2 linked regions of the Nothobranchius furzeri genome follow. The protein of the gene in region 1 binds, or shares a complex with, the protein of each later gene. Links are inferred from orthologs where the notes say so. Each region holds a gene or a part of one and is shown on either strand. Other genes may lie near its edges.

The links. Proteins that work in one complex are often made in the same cells at the same time.
Region 2: dnaaf10 (region 1) and pdrg1 share a complex: the UniProt entries of both Homo sapiens proteins name them as parts of the PAQosome complex. The link is inferred for Nothobranchius furzeri from reciprocal best matches to the Homo sapiens genes DNAAF10 and PDRG1.

Annotation. Positions count from the first base shown.
Region 1 is NC_091752.1:37,855,884-37,859,637, reverse strand, and holds the start of dnaaf10 (dynein axonemal assembly factor 10), read left to right. Parts: upstream 1-1,329; 5' UTR 1,330-1,412; coding exon 1,413-1,598; intron 1,599-2,019; coding exon 2,020-2,120; intron 2,121-2,224; exon of another isoform or gene 2,225-2,257; coding exon 2,258-2,388; exon of another isoform or gene 2,389-2,458; coding exon 2,459-2,560; exon of another isoform or gene 2,561-3,754. Other genes in the region: RNA-binding protein PNO1, read right to left, coding at 71-154, 249-395, 826-1,023. UniProt on the Homo sapiens protein: Key assembly factor specifically required for the stability of axonemal dynein heavy chains in cytoplasm.
Region 2 is NC_091743.1:5,381,729-5,385,482, reverse strand, and holds the start of pdrg1 (p53 and DNA damage-regulated protein 1), read right to left. Parts: upstream 2,766-3,754; 5' UTR 2,695-2,765; coding exon 2,611-2,694; intron 2,472-2,610; exon of another isoform or gene 2,303-2,471; coding exon of another isoform or gene 2,273-2,302; intron 2,163-2,272; coding exon 2,087-2,162; intron 1,865-2,086; coding exon 1,790-1,864; intron 1,708-1,789; coding exon 1,627-1,707; intron 116-1,626; coding exon 33-115; 3' UTR 1-32. UniProt on the Homo sapiens protein: May play a role in chaperone-mediated protein folding.

The DNA of each region.
Region 1 (3,754 bases):
ACGACAATCATCTGACGTTGTGCCTCAGAAAAACACTGAGCTCACGGAAACTTTCCGATAGTTTACTCACTTCAACCTGGAATCCAAGAATAAACGCTCGGACAAAGTCTGCAGCTTTTGTGAGTGCGCTGATGTCCTGCGTTTCTTTACATGTCTGGAAAAAAAAGAGAAAATACAAATCCAGACAGAAGGGTGAGCTCCAGCACAAAGCTGTTCTCCTGGTGGAATACGTAGTAGAGGAAACTCACTTTAATTTCAACACTCCTGGTTTTAAGATTGAATCTGACTTGGAGTTGTAAATTCTCTACGATGGGGGTGAAAATCTTTAGCCAGTTTTCCTTGAGAGGGGTGTATCTGTGACCTGGAACAGGAATTTTGCGCATCTCATCTGGTCCCTGCAACACAACATTCAGCGTTAATCTCCACAAAAATTTTCAAAGAATAACGCCAAATAGACTTCACTTAAAAATATATTTTATAATATTTAGTGATCATTTTAAATTAAACTTTTCAGTTGCTTTCCATCATTGAGCACATTATTCCAACCAAGTTAGAGGATAACAAATGCCAAGGAAACCAATATTAGCAATTGAGCACGGACTAAATTGATATTTTAACATAAGTATGTTTTAATGTCATTTGTGACATTAAATGCGAGCTTGCACCATTTTTGTCGACCATAGTGCGCAGGCGCAAAGCTGTTACTAGTTAATAAGCCAATGTAAGAACAGTAAATAATATAAATATACATGATTTACAGAAAGTGCTGATTTTGATCCTAAAACGTATGTATTATATAAGAAAACACCGCAATTTCGTAAATACCCGTAATTTGTCTGCAGATATTGGTGGAAACTGTGGTCGTTTGTTCGCCACGCTGTCCTCCGTGTCCATGTCCACCCCGTCCTGTTCACGTTTTCGCTTCTGGGTCTTTTTAGACTTCACCTTTGTGAACGACTCAGAGTCGTTTTTACTCTCCGCGCCCACCTCCACCTCTGGGGTTTGGTTTTTATCGCTGTCCATCTCAACAAAAGTTTAAAAATCAGATTACAAAACAAGAAACTGAAGCAGATTCTGGCCACAGTCGCATCGGATGGCCTCGTGCGACGGCAAGGACCCAAACTGCGACATCATCAACGCCTAGACATAAAAACGTACAAATACACGCCAGGATTGTTAAAAAAACTATTAATATGGAGACATTTATAACATATTACATTCATTCAACATATTATGAGTTATTTTATTGTTTATATTTGGTATATGTATTCACTACGGTGGTATTTAGTCAGGCATTCCTTTAGGCAGCTGCGGTCTTCTTAGTCTCAATGACGTTTGTTTTGAGTCCAGTTTATTTCCTTTTTAGTAGACTTGTCTGCAGTTTTGCTGGGAACCAATCCCCTCCATTTGAAATGTCATCGCCGCTTTCAAAGCCTCAAGTGATCGCGCACATTCAGAAGAGTTTAAACTACACGGTGTTTGACAGTAAATGGATTCCGTGCAGCGCAAAGTTTATCTGCCTGGGGAACTATCCTAGAGGGACCGGAGTGATTCAGATATATGAGCTGCAGCACGGAGAGGCTCAGCTTATTAAAGAAGTGAGGCCATTACTGTTATTGTTACTCACATTATGTTATTGTTAAGATTTGTTTAGGACGTGTCATTTTCTCTGGTTATCCCGGAATTAACTGGGTTACATAGGTTCTAGAAAAGTCTTGAACGGAAGTATCCATGGCAACTGGCAGTGTGTCGATAGGAAATGCCCTTTTCTCGTTGAACAAAAAACCCAGTTAAATGACAAAATAGTAAAAACACACAAATAAATACAATCAGATAAACGTGCAATCTGAAATCTGAACTTGTTCTCTGATGGCAAATATTAGAAGATAGATAGATAGATAGATAGATAGATTGATAGATAGATAGATAGATAGATAGATAGATAGATAGATAGATAGATAGATAGATAGATTTTTTTAACAGTATAATAAACAGAATCATACATTCGACTCATCCCAGGTGGAGAAACCCAAACCTCTAAAGTGTGGGACGTTTGGTGCCACTTCTCTGCAGCAAAGACACTTAGCAACTGGGGACTTTGATGGAAATCTTAATATCTGGTAAGTTGCCACAAAATCTGTAGAATATTCAAGGAAAGAACCGGTTCCCCTTTCTTTCCTGTGTTTTGTGTTCATTTGTATGAATAACAAGGACGTGACAAGTATCACTATTTGTTATTTATTGGTGTCATCTGCAGGAATCTTGAGTCTCCTGAAGTGCCAGTGTACACGGCTAAGGCCCACAAGGAGATAGTAAATAGTATAGATGGTGTTGGTGGCCTGGGGATTGGTGATGGTGCTCCTGAGATAGTTACTGGAAGCAGAGATGGTAAAAGTATTAGATGTCTTTCCTATTCACACATCAGTAAAATAACAAAAATACTACTGTTTTCCTACAGGGACAGTAAAAGTGTGGGACCCTAGACAAAAGGATTTACCTGTGGCCAACATGGAGCCTGTGGAAGGGGAAACCAAGAGGGACTGCTGGACAGTTGCATTTGGTAAAACTTATCCTCAGAGGGGGATTACAGACAATACCTGGCGACAAAAACATGGACCCTTCACTCAGTTCATTCAGCTAATTAATACGACTCAAAAATATTTCAGTAAGAAACTAAAACCATTTGGTTTGTTAAAAAAAAGGAACTTGTTCTAATCTATTAATTATATCATTAATAATGAATTATATAACTAGAAATTATATACTTGTTCTAATCTGTTCAAATAAAAAACGGAACAGTTATAATATTTAATAAAATTTAAATATTATTTATTTACTTTTTCTATAATTAATTGACATCTTTCACATTTTAAATTCGCTGAATTCTTTGCCAAAGATAAATAAGATTGTTCATCATTGTGATGCCAGCTTCCTCACACATCAGCAAACACATTAGCCTCGTTTCTTTCTACAATTTCTGCCGTATTGTTTTCATTTCATTTTCTAAATGAAATAGTTTTGTGTCACATCTGGAATTGTATATTCCAAAAAAGTAAACAGTTGAGCAAGAGTGCTGATTTAATATTTTTGGGTTATTTTTTCCATGAAATTTACATTTACTGACAACGGTCACCTGCTGTTCACATCCTTCACTTACACAAGGGCTGGTGTTTAATTATAAGGAATAAAATCAAGTAAGTCTGCAGAAGTCTTTTTTTTTTCCTGTCTCTTTGCTATATGAGTTATGTGTTTTAGGTAGTGATGCACCGATATGAAATATTTGGGCTGATACCGATATTAAGGTCACTGTTATGGTCGATAACCGATATTTGCCGATACCGATATTAAGGTCACTGTTATGGTCGATAACCGATATTTGCCGATACCGATATACTGACATTAATGCTTCTAAAATCAGCAGATTTTTTATAGAATAAAAGTTATTAAAGCTGAATTTACGTTATTATGTACACACACCACACACACATTTACGGTTCTGAGATGATAACATTCACTGTTCACATGACTAAACAATTACACATCACTCCCCCACCCTCTGAAACAGACAAACAACTGGAGACGAGATGGAAAAAATTTCGGTTGTTAATATCGGCCCGGTTTTATTTATCGAACCGATAACGACATGTTAAAAAAATGACTAACATTGGCCGATACCGATATTGATGCCGATATATTGTCCAACCCTAGTTTTAGGCCCTAAAGCTGATCCCGGTTATAAAATGGAAAAACAGAC
Region 2 (3,754 bases), on another chromosome or scaffold:
CGTCGGCGTTTTCGTCCTCAGCAGTTAGCTGCTCATCTCTTCAGAAGGCTGGTGATAGCTTTCATCTCATCAGAGGATAGAGGAGACAGATTATAACCTCTCAGCTCAGGATTTCCTGAAAGCAAGCAAACAACAAAGAAAAAATATCACAAACAACAAATACTCTACAGACAAACATGAGGTGCTTCAAAGGATCAACTCAAACAACAAATAAATGTTTTCCAAACACCCATCAGCTCCGGCACCGCCATCACTCACGCCAGCTGCTCGTCGTGTGAGATCAAACCAACAACACCAACATCACTGATAAGCTTCAGGTGCAGGTGCTAGCAGAACAGCCACACGAGTGGTTCGTGCAGGTGGGGCTCAGCACACGCCCCTGTGGAGTGAAAGTCTGAAATAAATAAAACCGTGATCATGTGATCCTCAAATCTGATCTCCTTTCCAGCGTTCCTGACTGACCCGGGATCTGTTGTGTCTACTATTGTACAGGTCCGGGGCGAGCCCAGTTGGGGGGTTGGGTGTGTGGGCTGCAGGAGCCCAGTGACTGAGCTGACCACACGGGGAACTTGGTCGTTTTTCCAGGGTTTTGTCCTTTTCGTGGCCCGACCACGGTCATTTCTATTTACAGCTGTGGTCGTCTGTCGTTGTCTGAGTGTGAGACGGAGAGGCTGAGCCGTCCACTTCTTGCAGGAACTGAAAATAATTTATTATTGTGACGCTTCTCTTTCAGAAGCCGCCTGAATGTTTCAGAAGACAAAAACTGTTACGGTAAGCCAAAGAACGCGTGAAAAATGTGTCAGAGCGGCGTTTTGTGATAAAACGGGTCATCACTACTAACTCTTTCTCCACTCAGATCCAACAACTTATCACACGGAAGGATTCACAACACCTGTTGGGAGACAGCTGGTGCTTTGGGCCGACAGCTCACTGAACTAGAACCTTTAGTTCTGAAACAGACACTCAACCCTAACCCAGCACCAGATGGACTCCAGCAGCAGAAGACCACACCAGCTGTCAGCCAACAACAGGAACCTGGGCCTCAAATCCCCACAGCATCACCAGAAGGGACCGGAAAACGTTGCCTGGTCTGACGAGTCTAGACCTCCAACACCAGGATCCCAGTGTCGGTGCTTTTTCATCGAGTTCCTGATTATTTTCTTTGCAGTCAGAGTTTCTTACTGTTTGTGCCTCATAATGAAGAGAAGTGTGCTCACTAGGATGCAGTTCACGAACAACAATGTCCTGCTATGAAAATGGACCTCTCATTAAAACAATATGAAGCTGGAGGATTAGTTTCCAGTGTTGCTTTTCTAACAAACGATAAATATTTTCTAAATGAGCACACTAAACGTTTAGGAAGTGTCCGAGAGACTGCAACCAAATTAATGGTCACATTTATTATCATTATTATTATAATAACCAGAATAATAAACTCTTTAAAAAGCTTTAGCTTTCATTTAGTGCCCATAAAATAAATGTTAAATGAAGAAATGGTTCCAGGTCCATTCTGATCCGGAGACTGCTGTTTCGTGAGGATCTATGAGGTGAACAAGGGTCTGTAGTACCGGTGCTTGAATCATTAGTGTGGTGGATGGAACCGCTGATGTGTCACAACACACATACCTTCGATCTCGTTGAGACGACCGACTTTAGTTCTCAGCTCTTTGCGAAGGTGGTTTATTTCCTTGTCCAGCTGCTCTTGGTCTGCAGGTTGGAGAAACGGCTCAGACTAAATTCGACTCGTGTTAAAAACGGAAGATCTAACTTGTAAACGATAAAGGATCACCTTTCCGGATCATCTGCGTCGTTTTAGACTTGGAGAACTTGATGAACATGTTTCCAAAGCAAACCTTGACTTTTTCTGTGGACGGCAGCAGAGGCGGCCATTACTCCTTCATCACCAGGGTCACCAATAAACAACCACGAGTTTCATAATTAGCCTGAGATTATTTACAGATTACACGTGTTCCTTTAGGCAATAATAACAGACGGATGTTCCAGCTTTATGGGAACGTTTGGTTGTTGTAGCTACAAGGGTTCCTCTGTGGTGTTCTGGTGGCCTGAGTGCTGATGGATCACAAACCTTTATCCGACATCTCATGTTTCAGTGCGTTCAGCGCCTCTCTGTTGAAGTTTCTCTTCATGTCCAGGTCAACAATCTGAAACACACACACACGTTTGTTTTAAGGGAGGACATTATTAACTGGGATATCCGTGCGTGTGTGTGTGGTTTTAGAACAACAGTTTTCTTCAGATATCATGAACGCACCACCTGACTGGACCAGCTACAGAAGGACATTTGACTCTAGACAACATCGGTGTGGTGACGGGTAAATGAAGTGTTGAACCAACACCAGAACTTAGCTCTCTTGGCTCCAACCGCTAAAATCCTCATGCATAAAGCTGCTAACGCACAGAACTGCGTCTGAAAACCGCGTACGTCACATCCACTCACACTTGTTAGCATGAAGCTAGCAGCTGTAACCCGCTACGGGTCTCACCGCGTACGTCACTTCCACTCACACTTGTTAGCATGAAGCTAGCAGCTGTAACCCGCTACGGGTCTCACAGAACCAGCCTGGCCACGGTGGGTCTGGATGTGTTTACCTGTTGTTTGGCGGTGAGAACATCCTCAGCCGCCTCTTCCACTTCAGTCAAGCGCTCCAAAACACGCAGAGAAGCGTCGTCCATCTTTGAGTCTTCTTCTTCTGGGCTAACGGTGGACTACCGCCCCCTGCTGGAGAGAGGTCACCTCCGCATCCGCCGCGAAGCTTTTCACAAATGTATTTTCAGAGGTGTGACCATAGACTGTACATACTCCACATACAAATGTTTTTCTGTATTTTTGTAAATATTCTCATCATAAACTAAATAAATAGGAAAAACATTTTCAAAAGCATGTCCAAGTGGGCTCAAATTCTTCATGTATAGCAGGTGTGACCAAGTCACTGCTTTGCAAGTCATAAGTAAGTCACAAGTCTTTCCATTCAAGTCTAAAGTCAAATCCAAGTCAAAGACAACCAAGTCCAAGTCAAGTCCTTAACTTTGAATTTTCAAGTGATAATCAAGCCATCTGTCCAACTTCTATTTAATGACGATGATAATAAATTAATTCCAGAAAAAAACCTTCTTAAAGCTTCTTTTTTTTTGCTCAAACAAGCAGAAACTGAGACTGGTTATAAACAAAGCGCTGCTGCATTCAGCAGTAAATCAAACCCAGAACCAAGAATGATTTATGATTTTTGTCCATGTCGTGCCACTTCTGTGACAAAATATCAAACATTCTCAAGTCATCATCAAGTCAACAGATGCAAGCCGATTCAAGTCACAAGTCACTGGTGTTCAAGTCCAGTCAAGTCATAAGTCTTTATAGATTTTATCAAGTCAAGTCAGAAGTCATTCAAATAATGACTCAAGTCTGACTCGAGTCCAAGTCATGTGACTCGAGTCCACACCTTTGTGTATTATAGTCAAAATGTACAAGTTACTGTGCAAAACAAACAAATTACAAATCATTTTCCTTGGACCAATAGAAAAAAGTCCATCGTTCCTGAAACTTCAGCTGAATCCCTTCCAGAAACATCTGTTATTGTCACATAAAATAAGAGTGGACTCAGCATTAACGCCTTTAAACCAAGTTTCATGATGGACAGGACTTAAAAGCAACATTACACGCACGGTGGTCACGGGTGTAATGAACTGACCAGGTTTGAAAATGGACCCAAATATTCCAGAAACAGTTTTCAGACTT